5 linked regions of the Rattus norvegicus genome follow. The main gene of each other region encodes a partner of the protein of the gene in region 2 in a complex. Links are inferred from orthologs where the notes say so. Each region holds a gene or a part of one and is shown on either strand. Other genes may lie near its edges. The genes, in order: Napa, Vamp2, Cplx1, Snap25 and Stx8. A codon is read from its position in the direction of its gene.

Evidence for each region.
Region 1: the proteins of Vamp2 (region 2) and Napa are in contact, whole or in part, in a cryo-EM structure (PDB 3J97), measured with the Rattus norvegicus proteins. Residues at the interface, in NP_036795.1 of Rattus norvegicus: Gln36 (codon at 1,990), Ala37 (codon at 1,993), Asp40 (codon at 2,002), Glu41 (codon at 2,005), Val43 (codon at 2,518), Arg47 (codon at 2,530), Val50 (codon at 2,539), Asp51 (codon at 2,542), Leu54 (codon at 2,551), Glu55 (codon at 2,554), Gln58 (codon at 2,563), Lys59 (codon at 2,566), Arg66 (codon at 2,587); in NP_542152.1 of Rattus norvegicus: Arg116, Thr118, Lys122, Ser157, Ser159, Ser160, Lys163, Leu197, Tyr200, Ser201, Lys203, Arg239, Ser268, Ile269, Arg271.
Region 3: the proteins of Vamp2 (region 2) and Cplx1 are in contact, whole or in part, in a crystal structure (PDB 1KIL), measured with the Rattus norvegicus proteins. Residues at the interface, in NP_036795.1 of Rattus norvegicus: Arg47 (codon at 2,530), Val50 (codon at 2,539), Asp51 (codon at 2,542), Leu54 (codon at 2,551), Asp57 (codon at 2,560), Gln58 (codon at 2,563), Ser61 (codon at 2,572), Asp64 (codon at 2,581), Asp65 (codon at 2,584), Asp68 (codon at 2,593), Ala69 (codon at 2,596), Gln76 (codon at 2,617); in NP_074055.1 of Rattus norvegicus: Leu41, Arg48, Tyr52, Glu56, Arg59, Glu60, Met62, Arg63, Ile66, Arg67, Tyr70, Gly71, Ile72.
Region 4: the proteins of Vamp2 (region 2) and Snap25 are in contact, whole or in part, in a crystal structure (PDB 1SFC), measured with the Rattus norvegicus proteins. Residues at the interface, in NP_036795.1 of Rattus norvegicus: Asn25 (codon at 1,957), Thr27 (codon at 1,963), Ser28 (codon at 1,966), Asn29 (codon at 1,969), Arg30 (codon at 1,972), Arg31 (codon at 1,975), Leu32 (codon at 1,978), Thr35 (codon at 1,987), Gln38 (codon at 1,996), Val39 (codon at 1,999), Glu41 (codon at 2,005), Val42 (codon at 2,515), Ile45 (codon at 2,524), Met46 (codon at 2,527), Asn49 (codon at 2,536), Lys52 (codon at 2,545), Val53 (codon at 2,548), Glu55 (codon at 2,554), Arg56 (codon at 2,557), Lys59 (codon at 2,566), Leu60 (codon at 2,569), Glu62 (codon at 2,575), Leu63 (codon at 2,578), Arg66 (codon at 2,587), Ala69 (codon at 2,596), Leu70 (codon at 2,599), Gly73 (codon at 2,608), Ala74 (codon at 2,611), Gln76 (codon at 2,617), Phe77 (codon at 2,620); in NP_112253.1 of Rattus norvegicus: Gly131, Gly132, Phe133, Ile134, Arg135, Arg136, Asn139 (codon at 187), Leu150 (codon at 220), Glu151 (codon at 223), Ser154 (codon at 232), Ile157 (codon at 241), Gly158 (codon at 244), Leu160 (codon at 250), Arg161 (codon at 253), Ala164 (codon at 262), Leu165 (codon at 265), Met167 (codon at 271), Gly168 (codon at 274), Ile171 (codon at 283), Asp172 (codon at 286), Gln174 (codon at 292), Asn175 (codon at 295), Ile178 (codon at 304), Asp179 (codon at 307), Ile181 (codon at 313), Met182 (codon at 316), Ala185, Asp186, Asn188, Lys189.
Region 5: Vamp2 (region 2) and Stx8 share a complex: the UniProt entries of both Homo sapiens proteins name them as parts of the SNARE core complex. The link is inferred for Rattus norvegicus from reciprocal best matches to the Homo sapiens genes VAMP2 and STX8.

What each region holds. Positions count from the first base shown.
Region 1 is NC_086019.1:85,925,434-85,928,944, forward strand, and holds part of Napa (alpha-soluble NSF attachment protein), read left to right. Parts: intron 1-384; coding exon 385-501; intron 502-3,511. UniProt on the Homo sapiens protein: Required for vesicular transport between the endoplasmic reticulum and the Golgi apparatus. Together with GNA12 promotes CDH5 localization to plasma membrane.
Region 2 is NC_086028.1:54,291,492-54,295,592, forward strand, and holds the start of Vamp2 (vesicle-associated membrane protein 2), read left to right. Parts: upstream 1-1,297; 5' UTR 1,298-1,379; coding exon 1,380-1,381; intron 1,382-1,886; coding exon 1,887-2,007; intron 2,008-2,514; coding exon 2,515-2,673; intron 2,674-2,760; coding exon 2,761-2,812; coding exon of another isoform or gene 2,813-2,886; exon of another isoform or gene 2,887-3,412; coding exon 3,413-3,429; 3' UTR 3,430-4,101. UniProt on the Homo sapiens protein: Involved in the targeting and/or fusion of transport vesicles to their target membrane. Major SNARE protein of synaptic vesicles which mediates fusion of synaptic vesicles to release neurotransmitters.
Region 3 is NC_086032.1:1,327,722-1,331,876, forward strand, and holds the start of Cplx1 (complexin-1), read left to right. Parts: upstream 1-1,351; 5' UTR 1,352-1,468; intron 1,469-2,740; 5' UTR 2,741-2,812; coding exon 2,813-2,843; intron 2,844-4,155. UniProt on the Homo sapiens protein: Positively regulates a late step in exocytosis of various cytoplasmic vesicles, such as synaptic vesicles and other secretory vesicles.
Region 4 is NC_086021.1:144,571,084-144,574,594, forward strand, and holds part of Snap25 (synaptosomal-associated protein 25), read left to right. Parts: intron 1-179; coding exon 180-324; intron 325-3,511.
Region 5 is NC_086028.1:53,157,668-53,161,178, forward strand, and holds part of Stx8 (syntaxin-8), read left to right. Parts: intron 1-213; coding exon 214-313; intron 314-2,150; coding exon 2,151-2,245; intron 2,246-3,511. UniProt on the Homo sapiens protein: Vesicle trafficking protein that functions in the early secretory pathway, possibly by mediating retrograde transport from cis-Golgi membranes to the ER.

The sequences.
Region 1 (3,511 bases), on a different chromosome or scaffold from region 2:
ATCTTCTCCTTGCTCTCTGTTTAGGTTCCAGACTTTTCTGTGCAAGAGGAGAGTCTCTGAACCCAAGAGCCTGGATGTTTTGTACTTTTAGTCCTCGGCTCTGCCTGCCTTTTCTTCCTCTCTGTGGAAGTGGAGGCTCTTGAGTTGCTGGGTGGAGGGGATGGGCGGGTACTGTGTTCACCCTGGCCATTTGTTTATAGTGGGACCTAGGCTTCCCAAGGCAGCTTTCTGACCTCCTCGATTCACCAGAAAGCTCTGCGAAGGCTGCCATTGGGCTGGAGTAGGCTGATCTGGACCTCTGCCTGGCACTCTAGCTGTGTTCTTGAGAGCCCGAAGTGCCTCCTGGGGCCGTGACTGAAGCTGGGCCAATCTGTTCTATTCTAGCTGCTGGGAACGCTTTCTGCCAGGCTGCCCAACTGCACCTACAGCTCCAGAGCAAGCACGATGCAGCCACCTGCTTTGTGGACGCCGGCAACGCTTTCAAGAAAGCTGACCCCCAAGGTAAGGGCCTGTGGGAGCCACAGACGGCAGAACAGGTGAGCACTGTCCCCATCCTCAGGTGTCTGCACAGATCTGGGCTTTTCCAGTGGCTGACACACGATAGGCCAGGAGCAAAACAAGCCCTGACTGCAGAATTGGCTGGTCTTTGCTGTCACTGGCATCCTGCCCCGCAGGTGGCACCTCTCCCACCCAGGCTTTGAGCATTTGGGAGTGGGAGTTCCATTTCAGACCCACTGTTTGCCAGGAAACCAGGCAAAGCTGTTCAGTTGTCAGAATTAGCATGCAGAAGGGGGCAGGGCAGTCCAAGCCAAGCCAAGTAAAGTGGAGCTCTGCTTGACCTGGCTTCCCTGCACTCCAAGAAGAAGCAGGGGAAGTTGCCAGAGGCCAGTTCCTTAAAGCAGAGCCTCTGGGGACAGGTTTGGACGCAGCACAGCCCAGGGACCTCAGACTCGGATTTCCTGGGCTGGGGAGTTTGCTTTCGTTATTTTTCTTGGTTCTTTTTTTTTTTTTTTTTTTTTTTTTCCGGAGCTGGGGACCGAACCCAAGGCCTTGCGCTTCCTAGACAAGGGCTCTACCACTGAGCCAAATCCCCAACCCCTGCTTTCATTATTTTTATTCGCTTATTTGTGATGCTAGGGATTCAGCCTGGACCTCTGATGTGCTGAGAATGTGTTATACACATCTCGGTCCCCAGAATGATTTCTTTTTTAAATCTTAGAGCCACATAGATTGCTAACTTTAACTTTTAGCAAGCAGAGGTGTCTGACGCAGTCATGGTGGCTCATGCCTATCATCTAAGCATTTGGCAGGCAGAGGCAGAAAATTCAGGTACTCAAAACAAACCATCCTCAACCCTTGGCTACAAAGCGAGTTTGAGGCACACCTAGGGCTGTATGAGACTAAGTCTCATTAATAATTTTTAAAATATCTAGGATTTTTTTCTTTAGAAGAATGGAAAAGAAGTGACTATTCTTTTCAAAAGGAGGTGCTCAGTGTTTGGATAAAGGTTCACCTCTAGGGAGAAGACACGCACCCCATGCTCTCTGCAGCATCAGTGAATAACTGCCATTGTTGACAGAGCCACTCCCAGTTAGAGAGATGACTGTGTTGGCTCCGTCCCTGGGCTGACAAGCAGAGAGAGACAGCCTCTCAGCTGGGTAGGACTTGGATACAGCCAGCGGCTCAGGGCAGTCCTTTCCTCCACACAGCCCTCCTCATGCTTTCCCCTTTTGCTCCCTGGGGGACTGGTTGGCCTGGAGACACTGCCTAGCATCTGTGCCCCTCAGCTGCTGCTCCATCCGGAGGGGCTGGGAGGACCAGTTCCTGGGTGCTAGTGGCTGCCAGCCTAAAGGATGCCCTAGCATCATGAGCTCTTTGAACAGAACTGTACCTCCCAGTTTGTGGTTGGGTCCTTTTCCTCCAGAGACTCAGGCATGGGCCCTGTCCTCAACACGTGCAGGCTAATGTGGATGTGCACTGAGGATGCTGCAGCTAAGGGCGTAATGGTGGAGAGGGTACCTAGCACAATTGTGAGAGGAGAGCTTCTGATGGTAAGGGCTAGGGACTCATGCTGGACAGGGAGGGATGACAGCTGAGTGACATTCAGCCCCACTGCCATGGTACCCTCCCCAATCACAGCTCCACAAATGAGGGGAATGGACTGCATTTGCAAAGATAACAGCCATTTTGTCTAGGGCCAGTCAGGGCTCACAGAGAAGATTAGCCAAGCAGGGGAAGACATGCCTGGGTAACCTGAGCCTCACTTCCCCCTCCCCCAAGAAACCCAGGGCCTTGTGCTGCACCATGAAACTGCATCCTAGCCCTGTTACTCTTCAGGGCTTTATTTTCTCCTCGGTGATAGCATCCACTTACTGCGAGGTGCACATAGCAGCTTCTGATATCCAGGAGGGAGCCACCCTGAGCTCTAGAGCTTCTCCCATGTGGCCAGTGTCCTAGGAAACAGGTGGAGGAAGGCCAGGGAGGCTTGAACACCCAGTTTGTTCAGGAGGAATCTCCCTCACCTGTCTGATCACCTGCCCTGTGGTCTCATCCGTCAGCTCTTTAGGGATCCCACCTGAGACTTCCATTAGCAGCAGCTGACGGCCTGGGAATTTAACCCTTTTATAGCTTGCCTTGTGTGTGCATAGGCAGGGAAATAGTCTGTCCTCACGGGTCTTCTACCTAACCCCACGCCTACTGTTCTGTGGTTTCTTGGATGCCTACTATGTACAAGCACCTGACGCTGTTGCATCCATCCCCTCTCCTTGCTGGGGCTTGCAGTTTGTCCCTGTTTTACTGTGAACGGTGCTTGCTTAGCTCTGCATATGCCAGGGACTTCAGAGTAATGTAGAGTTGAGCTGGGTTCTGTAAGCCTCTCTCTACAGGCTGAGCACCCAGGAGGGTAGGAACTGACCTGTGGCATCAGAAGCCCTGTGGTGAGAGCAGATCAGGGTGTCAGCCAGCAGCCTGCTGCTTTCCAAGCTGTTCCTAGAGCAAGGAGCCAAGGCCCTGTAAATCCATGTTTCTCCCTTGCTTCTGTGGCAGGGACAGCCCCCTCAACAGATCCCATGCCAACAGGCTTTAGCTGCTGAAATCCCCACAGGAAGCAACCTTAGCATCCACATCCCGAGAGAGCCCAGCACACTCAGTCCAGTAGGAGCCCTGGAGCCTTCCTACCACATGGTCTGTAGTCCATCTAGACCCTTTGTCCGGCCCTGTGCCTCTCCCAACCCCCTCCTGAGTTGGTGGTTAAAAGATACTGAGAGTTCATTTCCATCTGCTAGAAGATGCCTCCCACTCATGCCTCTCTCCTCCAAATAACTTGTTCAAAAAAAAAATCCTTTTCCCAATTTAAAATCTTAGAAGAAATGGTACAATGAAGGTACCATCCTGGTGTTCGGTACAGCTTGCTATTCAAGCAGCCAGTAGGGCCAGGACCTTTTGGATGCACCAAGGAGAGGACAGTGCTCTTCAGATGGGGGTGCAGAGCCCCCATGAAGAGGGCCCAGTG
Region 2 (4,101 bases):
TTGTCCTGGGGCTTCTGCTGGGAGGGGGTTGGGCACTGCAGCACAGGAGGCTCTGGGAAGCCCACAGTGAAGAGGAGGAAAGCCAGACCCTGCTTGTCTCTGAGAATAAGGCTCTCTCAGGGATGTGTTGAGCACTCCCACCTCAGAGCTACTAGTCCTCCCCTAAAATGCCTCCTTCACCCCGGAGACTTGCTAAATAGGCAGCTGCTCCCTGGTTCTCTCTCTCCCTAGATGCAGGATGGGAGTGTGTACAGCTGCTGTGGCTGTTTCGTGTACTTAAAATGGAGCAGTCAGGAATGGACCAGGTCTAAGATAATATCCTATAGTGTTATCTAGATTAAGCCATTTGACAAATATTGTCTCCATATGTGATGCACTTAAATTTTAGGGTCCAGGGAGAGGCAGTTGGTTCTGTCAAGGTCATGTGTTTGGGACTAATCCACATGTAAAGTTGTGCCTATAACCTAAGTACTTCAGGTACGACCACCCTGTCTACTGTCTCTTTTCAGTCCGGGTTGTATGCTAGAATCAAAGCTGAGGTGGGGCAGCTGACTTCAGTGGGGATCCAGCCTATGGCACCACCAGACAGTCTTGGCCCTCCCTAGAGTCTTTAGCTTGTCTAATTTTTGTGGGGCCTGCTCAAGCTTTGACTGCCAAACACACACCTGGTCATAAGTTCTTTGTAAGGAGGGGCAGTTTTCACAGCCCCCCTCCTGCCCCGGTTTTGTGTGTGTGTGTGTGTGTGTGTGTGTGTGTGTGTGTGTGCCTCTGTTACTCCTTTTGCCCATACCCTGCTAGGAAATAAGAAGCCTCAGATCTCTCTTGAGACATTCAATTGCAGGGTGATGGGCGAGATTAGTTCTCACAATCCCCCTCCACTACAGTGTCAGGATTCCAGTTAGTATTGCTCTGGTACCTATCTTGGTCGCTTCTTGTTTTTCACCCTCAACCCATACACCATGTGTTGGAACCAGGTTGTAGGATGAGACGTCGAATTATAAGGTGTAAGAACCTGTGTATCCTCTTCAAGTATGAGGAAGGATGTAATTTGTGGGGAAGAGATGTATGAATCTCGGTTGTGGGTTCCTTCCAAAAGAGGCAGGTGTCAGGTGTCTTAGGGGCGGCGGTGGGTTGGCGAGCTGGGCCCACAGCCTAAGGCCAACAGACCCAACCAGACGACCCCCGGCCCTGCAGCGCCCCGCCCCCGCGGTCCGCTAGAGACGTGTCGCCTGCCGCGCCCCGCCCACGCCGCAGTGCCCGGATGCGGGTGACGTGCGGCCGCCATCTTCCAGTCCCGGGTAGCCAGCGCCAGTCGGAGCCAGCGCGAGCCGCCGCCGCTGTCACTGCCTCTGCCAAGTCCTCTGCCCGCTACCCCCGCCATGTAAGTCAGCCGCCTGTCACTCGCCACCCGCGATGTTCTGCCCCTTGCGGGCCGCCACCCCAAGGAGTGGGCTGGGAAACACGGGGGTCCCGCCCGCGCCTCTCGTGCCGCTGGCCAGGCTGGTGCCCATGACTGCGCGCTGGTGCCCGGAACCCGGTCTCGTGCGGTCTGGCACGGGCGATGGCCCGCAGGAGGGAGCGGACCCAGCGTCCACCCTCCGCCCCGCCCCTGTCACCATGGCCGTCAGTCATTTCGGGTCGACCCCGGGCAGCATCAAGGAGGTCGCCCTCATTTAACAGGAGGGGAAATTGAGGCACGAGGAGGGTCTCTCAAGGTCACGCGGCTCAACCGCTTTGGGGCCTTAAAGTGACTGTATCTCCCATCGGGTGCCTTCTCGCGCAAGAGAGGACTGGAGGGACTGTGGATGGACAGGTGGATGGGTGGAGCCCGGACTGTAGGGCCAGAGGCTCCAGGCCTGGAGTCTTAATCCGTTTCTCTTCCTTAGGTCGGCTACCGCTGCCACCGTCCCGCCTGCCGCCCCGGCCGGCGAGGGTGGCCCCCCTGCACCTCCTCCAAATCTTACCAGTAACAGGAGACTGCAGCAGACCCAGGCCCAGGTGGATGAGGTGAGTGTGTGTGTGTGTGTGTGTGTGTGTGTGTGTGTGTGTGTGTGTGTGTGTGTGAAAGATGATGGGACTGGCAAATAGGTGTGGGAGCCCATCTTGGGTTGAAGGTAATGACAGTTTATGCCTGTGGGTTTGGGTCCGAGACCTGCCGTATCCCCTCTCTGATTCCCTGTCAGCTTGCACTTGGAAGGGCTGCAGGATGAATCAGTTGTGCTAGCCCGGGGTGTGCCAGCTGGGGCAGGTGTGCTCTGGTGATAGGCTGATCCAAGCCCTAAAGATAGAGGGTGTTGCTGAGCATCTGAGCTCTGTGGCAGCAGCATGCCCCTGATGTGTGCTCCTTGCATGTCCCCAGGTGTGCTAAGCATGTTCTGTGTATGTCCTTGGCATGTTAGCCTGAAAACATCGGGGTGCATGTTCCATGTGTGCCACAATGGGCACATGTTCAAGAAGTGCCCTCCTTAAGGCGTACCTTGGCACACCCCCCTGCCTCGTGGACCCCTCCCCCAGGTGGTGGACATCATGAGGGTGAATGTGGACAAGGTCCTGGAGCGGGACCAGAAGCTATCGGAACTGGATGATCGCGCAGATGCCCTCCAGGCAGGGGCCTCCCAGTTTGAAACAAGTGCAGCCAAGCTCAAGCGCAAATACTGGTGGAAAAACCTCAAGGTAAAGGGGAAGGAGATGGGGTCAGGTGGAGGGCCAGTGGGTGAGTGGGGTGTCACCTCGCCTCATTCACCTCCCTCTCATTCCTAGATGATGATCATCTTGGGAGTGATTTGCGCCATCATCCTCATCATCATCATCGGTGAGTGGAGCAGGAGTGGCCAGGGCCCTTTCCCTGGAGAAGTAGAGGGTTTCCCTGTGGAGTCGGGGCTTTGAAGGTCATTGACCTAGTTTTTACTCTTCTACCAAAACACATTTTGCTGCTATTGGCAGTTCTGACTCACGTAGAGCCCCAACTTGAGTGTTATAGCCTTATTTTCCCTTGTTATGGGTAGTTCTGGGTAAGATTTTGGGGATAGGAATACTGGGTGGTCCCTGGTGCCTTTCTAGGAACCCTTTGAGCCTAAAAGCTCAGTCTGGGGTTTCTAAAACTGGAGAGTAGAAGACAGGTCAGGCTGAGGGTCTTGAACTCCAATCACAGGATACACTTACTCCACTATTTGAAAGCTATCGTCACATGCCAGTGCCTTAAAGGTTTGATACCCCTTTGTGCAATCGTGGCGTTTAAGGGATCTCAATACCCACTTGTGCAGTCCCTTTGAAGAAACTGAGGCAGAGAGAGAAGGGATGTCAGTGGGGGACTGGGGAGGTTTGGAACAGGGCCAGGCCTGATACACTGCTGTCTTTCTCTTCCTTCCCTTCCCCCACCCCCTACCCCTCCTCATGCCCTCTCTCTCCACAGTTTACTTCAGCACTTAAGTCCCTGAGGAGTCTGCCCTGCCTAAGAAGGGCCTCTCCCCCACCCTCAGCCCGTCCTCCACCTCTCAGCCATATCTTTCAGCCCCCTCCCTTGGATCCGTGTGTGTGTGTGTCCGTGTGTGTGCCCCCTGTAAATAGCCAGCTGTTATTTATACATATATAATATTATATATATTTGGTCTGTTTGTAGTTTTATTACTAGAAGATTTTTTCCGGTTGTCCTTAACACCCCTTCCTGAGGTTCCCATCACCTCTCTCTCTCACCCTCTGCCCCCTTTCCTCTTTCCTGTTCAGCCCCAAGTCCCTTCATTTGCATCTGCTATGCAATAGCCCCTCTCCTCCTTCCCTTGGATTTAACCAATCCTTCCCCTATCTTCCCTGTACAATTCCAGACCCTCCCCAAACAGAGCAAACCCCACAGAAACAAACAAAACACCCCACCTGTCTAGGCTTCCATAGGTTGCATCTTTGTATCCCTTGGGAGCCTCTAAGACTGGTCCTACTTGGTCCTAAGAATCCCAAGGTTTTCTGGGAGCTTCCAACATGTTGATTAGCATATCATTTGCATACACTGTCTTTTTTTTTTCCCTGGGTTTCTTCCTTTCTGTTCCATTACTCTTCACTCTTCTGTGTTTTTTTTTTTTCTTTCTTTCTTTTCGGAAGAGTTAGTTT
Region 3 (4,155 bases), on a different chromosome or scaffold from region 2:
TGGCTTGCTGTGGCCCTTGCTTTTTTGCTAGCTACCATAGACTCCTAAAACACAGAATGAGTCAGACTGGGCACATCTGTGTACAGGTGACCCCATTCCACGGGGCATCAGTCCTGGGCCTGAACAAGGCTTGGGGCATCAACCAACCTTACCAGAAGTGTGATGGGTGAACTGAGATGGATGGTGTCAATAGGAATGGCACTGGGAGACTCTTCTGTGTATGGTGTGAGTCATGTCCAACTTTCTGAATGATCCCCTCTCCTAGGCATAAACCTGGGTACAGTGCAGGCACTTCACCAGTGGGATCAGACTGTATCCCTAACTACAAGGCTCCAGGCTGAAGTCAGGGCTAGAAGATGGGGGACTTCTCTTCCTGTCTCCACTCCAGCTCCCTTCCTGGTCTCTTCTACTTTGAATCTGCCAGGTCAAAGGAACAAAAACTGATAAAAGCAAGTCTACGATGGACTCCATACCCTCCCTCAGCCCCTCGAATTCAAGCCACCAAGCACCCTGGGGCAGCTTTGGGATGTTAGTGAAGGAGGAATACTCATTAGGCAAGAAGTTTCACTGAATTGGGTGAAGGTCAAGATCTACCTAATCCGGAGGAATGACTCAGCCAGGAGGAACAGTAACAGTTAATGCAATGACCATCAGCACAAGACCCTGCGGGTCAGGAAATACCTCTGGCTACCCAGAATCAAAAAACAGCTTAGGTGTCCCCATATGCTCTGACTTCTGCGAAGCTGATTGCCTCACAGAAGCCCCCGCCCGCCCCCCAGGACAAGTACAGGGATGCCAGGCCAACCTTGTGGCCACCGGGTTCTTCTGCAGTGCAGCCGCAGCAGAGTTGAAATCCCGTTGCCGGGGAAGGGGCGGCCTAGAGGCGGGGCTGTGGCTGTCTCCGAGGAGCCCCTGCCCAGCCATGTCCGCAGTGACCTTCAGGCGTCCCTGACTGGCTGGGGTTCCTATCCCACCAAAGCCACATTTGGCGGTTCTGCACACCGGAGAAGGTTGGATGTGTGGGCTTATCTTGCAGGATCGGGGGTCTCGGGCGGTGCTCGCCTCTTCCCGCCCTGCCAGCAAAGGAGCAAAGCAACCGGGTCAAGAGCAAACGTGGTGGGTAGATGAGGGATGGCGACCCCAGCCCTGCGTTCTCCCTGCGTTTCTGGAGGGCGCTTCAGGAGGAATTCAGGAGGGTCTCCAAGCCGGTATGAAGAGAGTGGCCCAGGCCAAGGAGGGGCCCCTATGCAGCTGTCGCGCGAGCCAGGCCAGAATCTGGGAACCGGGGGCGCGGCTACCCCCCCATCTCCGCCGCGCCCCGCCCTCCTCGTCATGCGGGACGCGGGCGGGGGCGCTTCTGAGTGACGCGCCCTCCTCGCGGTGTCCTTCAGCCGCCGCAGCAGCACAGAGCGCCACATGGACCCCGCCGGCCTGAGAGCGCGCTGCTGTTGATCGTTCACCTTGGAAGGTAACTAGCGCCCTAGCAGCCAGTCCGACCTCAACCGGCTCCCACCTTTCCCCTTCCCAGCTCAGTCTTCCTCCCGACTCCGGGGCTTCCCTTCCCGGATCCCCGCTTTCTAGCCATGGGTCTCCTACCCTTGGTTCCCCTACTCTTGGTTCCTTGCCTTTCAGACCCAAGGTTGATCAGCCCGGAAGGCGCTGTCCGTCTCAAGGTGCTGAAGCGGCCCTTGATTCCCTTTCCCATCGGCATTTTTTTTTTTTTTTTTTTTTCCTTTCTTTCTTTCTTCTCTCCCTGGCGCGCTTCTGCCTGAGGCCGTGCTCCGGTCGGGCACCTCGCCCAGCAAAGCAAAGGGTGCGGCGGCCACGAAAGAACAGGATGCCTTGGTCTTTGCGGAATCTCCTCCGCAGCGACCGAGCTTCTCCAAGCCTGGCCCTGCGGAGCCCCCATCCCCCGATTACCCCGAGACAGAGAGAAGTTTAGAAGGCAACTGGCTTTGCTGCAAAGGCATCCCTGAACCCCTAGCTTCTGGGACACTCTCACTGCCTGGCACCCCTTCGGGTCTCATTCCGCAGAGGGAAACCTGTGAAATACTGGATCCCTAGGGACCAGGTTCCCTGTCAGGAAAGACCCTACAAAAAGGGATGTCTTTGCAGCTGTTGGCATTACAAAAAACACCTTTCTAAACGCTGCTGGGCATTCTGGCTTGGGTCGCCCTACCTCATGCAGAGACAATGTGGATCAGCTGTTTCCCCTCCTAGTGGAAGACCCGGACACTGTCATCTCCCTCCCGGGCCAGTACTGCTGCGGGCCTCCAGAGTCTCCCTACAGACAAATATAGTTGAGACTAGTCAGAAGTCATAAGGACCTTTCCTGAGGGGCAACATTCATGGACTTGTCTCTCCAATTCTTCCCCAGAGGGACCCTTGCCCCACAGCTCCAAAACTGCCAAGGAGGTTGAGCAGCCAGAATCTGGGTGCTACAAGCAGAGCATTGACCTTCAAATGCCCCCTGGGCCCCACCCCCACTTGAGGAGGCTGGCACCAGTCTCCAGTAACTGGTGGCCCCAAGTTGTGAGCTGCAGTGGCAGTTAAAAGCTTCCTTCAGAAACCCCAGAAGCAGCAAGATGACTGTTGGTTTGGCTGGGCTCTGAACCCTGCCGTCCTGGTCTGGGTGTGGGAACAAAGCCTCTCGCACTGGACTCTCAGGATAGTGGAGAGGTGTAGATGAGGGTCTTGGGAAGAGTCCGTCAGGGTACCTATGACCACCTACTCTCTCTAGGCAGAGGACTCCAACCACACTTGAATGTGAAATCTGACCCCGGAGTGTCTCCTGAGGAACCAAGCCATCATCATGGAGTTCGTGATGAAACAAGCCCTGGGAGGTAGGAGGTGGGCAGGGAGGAGGACATGGGTTTGGGCCACCAGGGATACACAGACATCTGATACTCAAGAGAGACATGTCTCTACCACTGCAGTGACATGGAGACACATGGCTGCATGACCACTTCTGACCTCACTCACTGCCTCTGCAGGTAGTTGCAGATTTAATATGAGATATGGGGAGAATGTGCTGTGTAAGATGGCCCTATGCCCCCGTGCCATGGCGCAGTAGAACGCACTGGTCATCCCAAGACGAGTCAAGAACTGAGCAGCATTGATCAATGCAGATACCCCGGCGAGGCTTGTGAGCAGCTCTCGTTGTGTCAGTCCTGGGAACAAACCATGCACCAGGATTGCGTTAGGAAACAGGATCTGGGTGATCCCAACTGTGGCATTGAGCTCTATGGGTTTCACCCGGGTAAGAGACAGTACTATTTACAAGGACAAGAAAGGATAACTATGTAATCAAGTCCACTTCTACAGAGAAAACATAGCCCCTTTATGTCGTTGAGTGAGGGCAGCCTCCTTACTCACTCACTGTTTGAAGAGAGTCCTGTCCCCACTTGGCCCAAAGCCATCTTTGTAGCTAGCAACAGTAGGTCTAGAAACTGGTAGAGGACAGTGGAATGAGTTCTTGGCCAGGAGGTGCTGAAACAGTGAGCTAAAAGGTTTGGTACCCGTTTGGCCAGAATGGGTTTCAACAGAGCAGTTTAGTCAGCTCAAGCCTGTAGGATTTGAGATTGCCCTAGGTGGACTTCATGCTTGTTCAAGCTACCTGCTCTAGGTACCCCAACACCCTTGTGTAGCCTCAGTGCTGAGAGCTCACACCAATTTTACTGCAGGGAGGCCCCTTGACTGGTGTGGGTCTCAGCTGGAATGTGTTAGGCATCCTTTGCTGTATGGAAAAGGGAAGGGGACCACTCACAGAGAGAAAGCTGGTTGGGGTCTTGGGGCCCAAAAGAGGAGAATCTGCCCAAATAGGCATCTCCCAGAGGGTGTCTGTGACTTCACTCGTATGTGATGAAAAGGAGACCCAGTGTGCTTGCTGAGTTCACGGCTGTGGTAGACTCAGGTTGAATCTAATTATAATGATTACATCACCGGGACAGGATTCAGAGGCAAGCCAGCATCCTGTATCAGAAGAGACCCGTGTTATACCCAGAAAGTCCCAGGCTGCTACAGACAATTAATTTGGTGGCTAATTCAGGCCCTGAGGTGGGCTTTTAAAGAAACTGAAATCTCTGATTTGGCTGTCTACGTAGCTGAAATTAGCTGGGTAATTGCCAGCCTGGATTCCCTCATTGTTCCATGTCA
Region 4 (3,511 bases), on a different chromosome or scaffold from region 2:
TTGAGCTCAAAACATCAATTTTAAAATTACACTTGAAGCTGACAGATATTAAGACGTGTTGGTATATTGAATAAGCATTAGAACTCTTCCTAGATGCGTGTATATTTCCCTCAAGCTCTGCTTCTTCGGTAACAACTTTCTTCTCACTCTGTCTTCCAAAATTGCTCTTTGGCTCCCAGGGTAACAAACGATGCCCGGGAAAATGAAATGGATGAAAACCTAGAGCAGGTGAGCGGCATCATCGGAAACCTCCGTCATATGGCCCTAGACATGGGCAATGAGATTGACACCCAGAATCGCCAGATTGACAGGATCATGGAGAAGGTGAGTCTATAGCTCTCAGGTACTGACTACTGACTGCCATTACGAAGGGGACACTACATGCAGGCAAACTAGTTACTGGGTATTTTGCCCAAAATATTTCAAGATAAAAACACGAGATTCTGTGGTAGAACTGGAATGAAGATTAGAGGTCGTTTGAGTTTCGATGTATTATGGGGGCTGAGTATTGAGCATAGGGTAGTGGGTATTCAAGAAAAGTGTTCTGCCAATGAGTTACATTCCTACCCCAGACCATACGATTGAATGGTGTTTATATTTCTCTATCTCTCCCATACCAGACATGTGCTAGGCACTTAGAACACCTGAAAACAAGACAGATCATATTCTCACTGCCAAGGAATTCATATCAGGACACAACAACCATGAAACAATTCACCATACAAATCAGACACTACTTCTTTCCTTACATTCTCATTCCTCATAGCATGTTGAATATTAATTATAACCTTTTTTACCTGTAAAATTCCAAATGGGAGAAGATGGAAGCATTTAACAATGATTTTATTTGTGAATATATGTCTGGCTACTCTTTTGCTGTGTTCTTAGTCTCCGTGAGACACTGAAGTTCTTAATCTGAGATCTTGAGTGTCTTTATATCTTCTCTTGCCAAGAACAGAGTTGGTTAATGTTTAGATCTTTTAAGTCACAAAGCTAAGTAATAGCATCTTGATCCCCCAAGCATTCTTCAGTACTGCAAAGGGATGAATTAATAGTATTGTGTCATATGTGCTCCAGATAAGCAATATATGACCACAGAATATTTTGCCTGATTGGTATTGAACTACACATATGTCAGAGCTGGCTAGAAAAATGCTTGTGTGGTGCATTTTAGAGCATGCAAGTTAGAGCATGCTTGTTGTGGCTAAGCAGCTTTTGCTGTCATGAAGCTTTTAAGGCTGTGAGAGCCAATGGGTTTTAAAGCCACATTGAAAGGTTCAAAAAGTGCTGGAACCAATTCAGTCTGACTTAAGCCATTACGGCTCCAAAGGAAAAATGAACATAGAGATAATTGCTCAGCTGTTCTCCAGAAGGGAAACAATCTGAGAAAACAGGAAGTGCTTGTTTTCTATCACCGAACCAAATTGACTCGGAAGCCAGCAGATAACTCAGCAGAGCCAAGCAGGGTTCCAGAGAAGAGATTTTTACTAACATAAAGAGGTCAAAACTTTGAGTAACTGGATTGGGAAAAGAAATATTTATTCCTCCTGTAAAGGCAGCAGAAGCCACATTCTGATGCCTCTGCTGACGTTGTTCTCTAGAATGGTGAGAACTTTTGGTATTTAGCTGTTCGTTACCAATGAAGGAGTACGTTGCCATAAAGGTTTAAGGAAATGCCAGACACGTTGATGGGAAACCACTGCTCTGGTTTTGCATCAACCCTAGGCTGCTGAGTCACAGAGGTAGAGTGAAGGTTATAATTGCCTTTCAACAATTAGTATAGCTTAGCCAATATTTGAAATAGAACTTCCATACATAAAATCACAATAGAGTTATTCCAAGGATGTTAGTGGGCTACACTATTCCTTCTTTCTCAAGGAAGTTCTAATCTTTGATAACTATATCAGAAGTCTCAGTCTGTATAGGGTTGAGCTAAAACCACACAGTAGGCAAAACAAAGAGAATTTTCTTCTCTCCTGGCCCCTCTATGAGCTTCTCCATCATCATTTGGGTTGATGGTGAACTCTGGGGAGATGAAAAGAGTTTTTATATAGTCTTGTGAATTTTTAGGACATTGCTTTGTGTTTATGCTTATGTGTGCTTATATGTACAATCTTTCAAAGTTACAAGCACATTGTTCTTCGAGGAAACTTGACATTGGGAGTATGTTTCCATCCCAAGCTTCGTACAGACCAGTGTTAATGGAGCAATGAAGAGAATTAACCAGTGTTAATGGAGCAATGAAGAGAATTAACCAGTGTTAATGGAGCAATAAAGTAGAGTTTGGTGGAAGAAAGTGTGTTAAGATACAGCTGGGTGGTCCCCACGGACTTCCATCATTGGGCAACCTAGATACTGAAAAGTAAGGCCTTGCCCTCTAAAAGGGCATGTGCAGTTCACCAATTCTGTGAGCTGTATGGAGGGACAGCTTGACTCTGGAATCTGAACATGCTGGCATATGACATACACACAGTTTGAGGTGTCTGATCTGGGCCAGGACTGCACCTGCCTGAAGCACCCAAGAGTTCGATGTACTCAGGACCCCCTTCTAAAAATGTCAGGGCTCCCTAATGGGTACTGGCCTTTCCGAAAAGGGAAATTATGAAGTGCATCTTAGAAATGCTGTCATAGGATTTCTCTAATCAAACGGAATCCTCAGATGGGGTAGCCCCCATTTTCAAAAAAAAAAATTCTCAAAGATGAACAAGGAGAACAGGATGAACACAGACAGAGGCATTTTCCAAGGAGCACACCTGAAGGGAGATTCTGTCAGGTTTGTTTTGTTTCTTTCTAAAAGGTGCTATTTCTTTTATATACCATGTAAAAAGTATGTGGCACTTTTATGCCATGTGTTATGGGTCTGGAGTTTGAACATGCTTTAGAGAACTTGAGAGGGAGGAGCAAGCATCCACTGAGCAGAGGTGCTCCAGATGCACCCTGCCTTTGAGAATATCCCAGGAATGGCTTCTGCTCTACTTAAACATCCCCCAAGCTACCTGGCAAAGGCCAGACAGTGCGTTCATAAACAAGACAGTCTACATTTGCCTTCGGAAACAATATTTGTTTTAAAATGGATTGCTTTCTCACTTCAGTGTCTCTGAGCTCAATCTAGAAATGGCACATTTCAATCTATAAGAGCATGTCAAATTGGCCTGAGCTAGTCTTTTCCTTTTCAAAAAAGTATTATTTCTGACACAGTTGGTAGGTACAGAAGAAGGCTCTAGGAAGCAAAGAAAATTGGCAGGATTATCCATTTTCCAAATGAGGAGCTGGGGGGTCAGAAATATGTCTATAGTTCTGAATAATCAGGACAAATCAATGTTCCCTTTTTTGATGTAAATACTCATTTTGAAGCCAACTCTTGATTAATCAAACAGATGGTAAAGAGCCATAGCCAGATAATTCAGTTGTGAATAATCCAGAAACATGTTCTACTTTCCAGATCTCTGTTTGAACATGGATGACTCCAGTGTGCTAGGAGTTTATAAATTCAAATTGACTATAGAAGACC
Region 5 (3,511 bases), about 1.1 Mb from region 2:
GCTTTTTGCACGTCACTTCTCATCTTGCCTCTGTGTCTCCTGCCCTGAAACAGCATCTCCTTGTCAGTGTGTTCCCTTAGACTAGGCTGGCCTCGAGCTCACAGAAATCCTCCTGCCTCTGCCTTTGCAAGGCTAGGATTGAAGGCACGTGACACCACACCTAGCCAGCACTTTCTTTTAAAGAACTTTAACGCGACTTTGACTTTGGTGCAGGTTCTCCACGTACGATTCTACTTGTCAGATTGCCCAAGAAATCGCTGAGAAGATTCAAGAACGAAATCAGTGTGAAAGAAGAGGTGAGAAGACACCTAAGGTAATGCAGGGAGGAATCCGCGTGCTGCTGAGCTCTGACGTCTGAAAGCATTGCTAGATCTGAGGTGTGCCGTGGGGGGTGGGGGTGTGCATGTGCATGTGTGTAAATCTTTTAGATCTTTTGGTATGTTGTATCGAATTTTACTTTTTCGCCATCGGTAAATTATGACCATTCCTCCAAGATATAAATTCCTCTGTATTTCATTCACTGACTTTTTATACAGCTACAGTTTTATACAGTTTTATACAGTTTTATACAGTTGTTCATACTTTTGATAGCTGCTGGCATTACATTCCCTAGGGTTCACACTGTTGGCAGCTGCTGGCACTGTACCCTTGAGTCTGTGTGTGTGTGCGTGCGTGTGTCCCTTGGGTTTGTGTGTGTGTGTGCGTGTATGTGCGTGTGTGTGTGCGTGTGCGTGCATGTGTGTGTGTGCGTGTGTGTGTGTGTGGTGTGCCCTTTTGATAGAGTTTGGGGTATGTGTGTGTCTGTCTTTGTTGCCCAGGCTGGCCCTGAGTTCAGGATTCAAGTGGTCCTCCTGCTGAAGCCTCACAAGTGGGGAGCAGTGTGAAGTACTGCTCCCAGCTGGTTGGAGTTTTTGCTTCTTACTCTATTCTTCTCTCTAAATACATGGCGGGCTCCTTCCCCTCAGCTCCACATCAGCATGATGGGCGCTCCTTTGGCTTCCAGGGATATTAGAACAAAGCTAGGCTTTTCCAGCCTGCTGACATCTTGGACAGTTGCTTGATGCTTGTTACCTTGCTCATCAGAGAGAGAGAGAGAAAGAGAGAGAGAGAGAGAGAGAGAGAGAGAGAGAGAGAGAGAGAGAAGAGAGAGAAGAGAGAAGAGAGAGAGAGAATGAATGAGAATGTGTGTGTGTCCATGTGTATGTGTGTCCGTGTGTGTCCGTGTGTGTGTGTGTGTGTGTGTGTGTGTGTGTGTGTGTGTGTGTGTGTGTGTCCTGCTTCTCCCTGAGCTATATAGCTGCTACCTTGTTGTTGTTTTGTTGAGCAAGGGTCTCACTGTGTAGCCTGGACCATGCTGACCTTGTACTCCTAGAGATAGATCCTCTCATCTCTCCAGAGCTGGGATTATAGGCGTACCCCAACATGCCTCACGTAACTGCTACTTTTAGCAAGCAGCGGTGACAACAGTGGCATTCTGCCTTTTTAATATTCCTCTGATTTCATCCAAGTCCAATCTGTTTTCATTTAAATGGGCCTTTTCTTCTTCACATTTCCAAATGTCAGAGTAGGACTCTCCCCACCCCTTCTTCATCTTTAGAGTCACAAACAGACATGTCCTCTGGGTTTTTAGGATGATTGGAGAAAATCCTCACAGTTGTAGAAGAAGAGCCGTGCGTGGTTAGCATTCCTTTCATGGAAAAAGAACACGTATTCTCCAGTGTTCACATGGGCTATAAATACACCAGAGTGTTCACAGACCAGTCAGGATGGTAATGGGACTTGACACCTTGTCATCTGAAGCATGGTTGAGGGAACCAGGGAGCTTTGCTGTTGGGCAAGGACTGGGGGAACACAGTTTCCTGCATGGTCCCAGGGTGGGTAAAATACAGCGGGTAGGAGAATTCCAGCCGAGTGTGAATGCAAGCTGACAGTTTCCACTCAATGTCTGTGTTCCCGTGTGGACCAGGTTGCCATGGGCAGGTGCACTATGGGGACAAGCTCCAGGTGGGTGGCTAGACCATGATGCCATTGAGACCTTTACAACCCTGAGAGTGTCCTCACGAGGCTAAGCCTCCCTCCCAGGTCTGTTTAACTTGGCAGATGCTACACCTCAGGTCCGGTGGACTCAGGCTGTGTCCTTCTCTTTGCAGCTTACCCTGACAATCAGAACTTTGTTGAAGAATCTGAAGGTAAAGATCGACCTCTTGAAGGACTTACTTCTAAGAGCTGTGTCGACGCGCCAGATGTATCCATGTAAACAAACCCACCCTTTTCTGGAGTGGGAGGAAAAGCAATCTTAAGACAGGAAGGAATCTGGGCCATCCAGATTTTTCCACAGCTCAAGGAGGACGTGGTTTCCACACTGTTGCTGTAATCGTACATTCTGTCTTAAGCGCTCACTGTGTGACAGTGACCTAACTAAGGAATAAATCCGTTTCGGCGTAGACTCACAGGCAGGAAAGCTACCACTTTCTGTCAGGGCTTCGTAGAGTCACATACTGCTCTCTGTCGCTGCCTTGAGGATGGCTAGATGCTTCTCCAACCACAGGACTTCCTTGACAGTTCTGAGCAGTGGTTCCCTGCTCGACTTTGCAGAGCATTTTCCCCCCTTTTCTCAGTAGACCAAGCATTAATAGCCAAACCTCTGCCCTCACATCTATGAGCTCAGATAAAGACATACTCTGGTATACCCAGTTTTGCGGAGCTGCTGGGGGTGGAATCAGGGCTCTGTGCGTGCTAGCCACATGCTCCCACAATCGAGCAATCTCTGAGCCGTGGGATGTCTTCTACTTCCCTGCTTCCTGGCCTATAGCATCCGTTTTGCTTTGTAAAGCTTCAGCTGTAGACTGGTGGGGTGTGACTTGCCCATTTCATTCTTTCAGGGACACAGGTAAATGTCCCTAGCCTGGGAGCTTTGCGGGTAACGAGTGTGTTGGGACTTGATTAAGGCAAGCTGGGTCATCTGAACCTCCCGTGAGTTATCAAATACTTAAGCTCTGTTTTGAGCTGGGTGGTTGTACACATCTGTAATCCCAGCACTGAAGAGTGAGGCAAGATAGAGCATTAAAAGCTAGCCTGGGCTACATAGTAAGTTTGCGGCTAGGCTAGGCTTTATGATGAGGCACCCTACCCCACCCCATCCTGCCTCAAAACAAACATTTTAAAAAGAAATTCACAATGTAACCTGCTACCTAAACTAATTCTTTTTTTTTTTTTTTTTTTGGTCTTTTTTTCGGAGCTGGGGACTAAACTAATTCTTGAAACCCAGTTTATATTGAAGTGAAAACTGATCCCATGGTTGTATCTCTTAAAATTGGCTCTAATTCAGGCCAAAGATCTGACTTTTGGTAGCAGAAGAAACCATATGTCCTGGCTTTAAATGTGGGGAAATGTAGGAATACCGCTCTTTTGACAAAACGATTGAAGGTGTTTCAAAAGTACATCTTCTCCTAAAGGAGCCCTTTTATGTTAGCAGGATGGTTGGCATGACTTAGTTGCATGGTTTTCCATA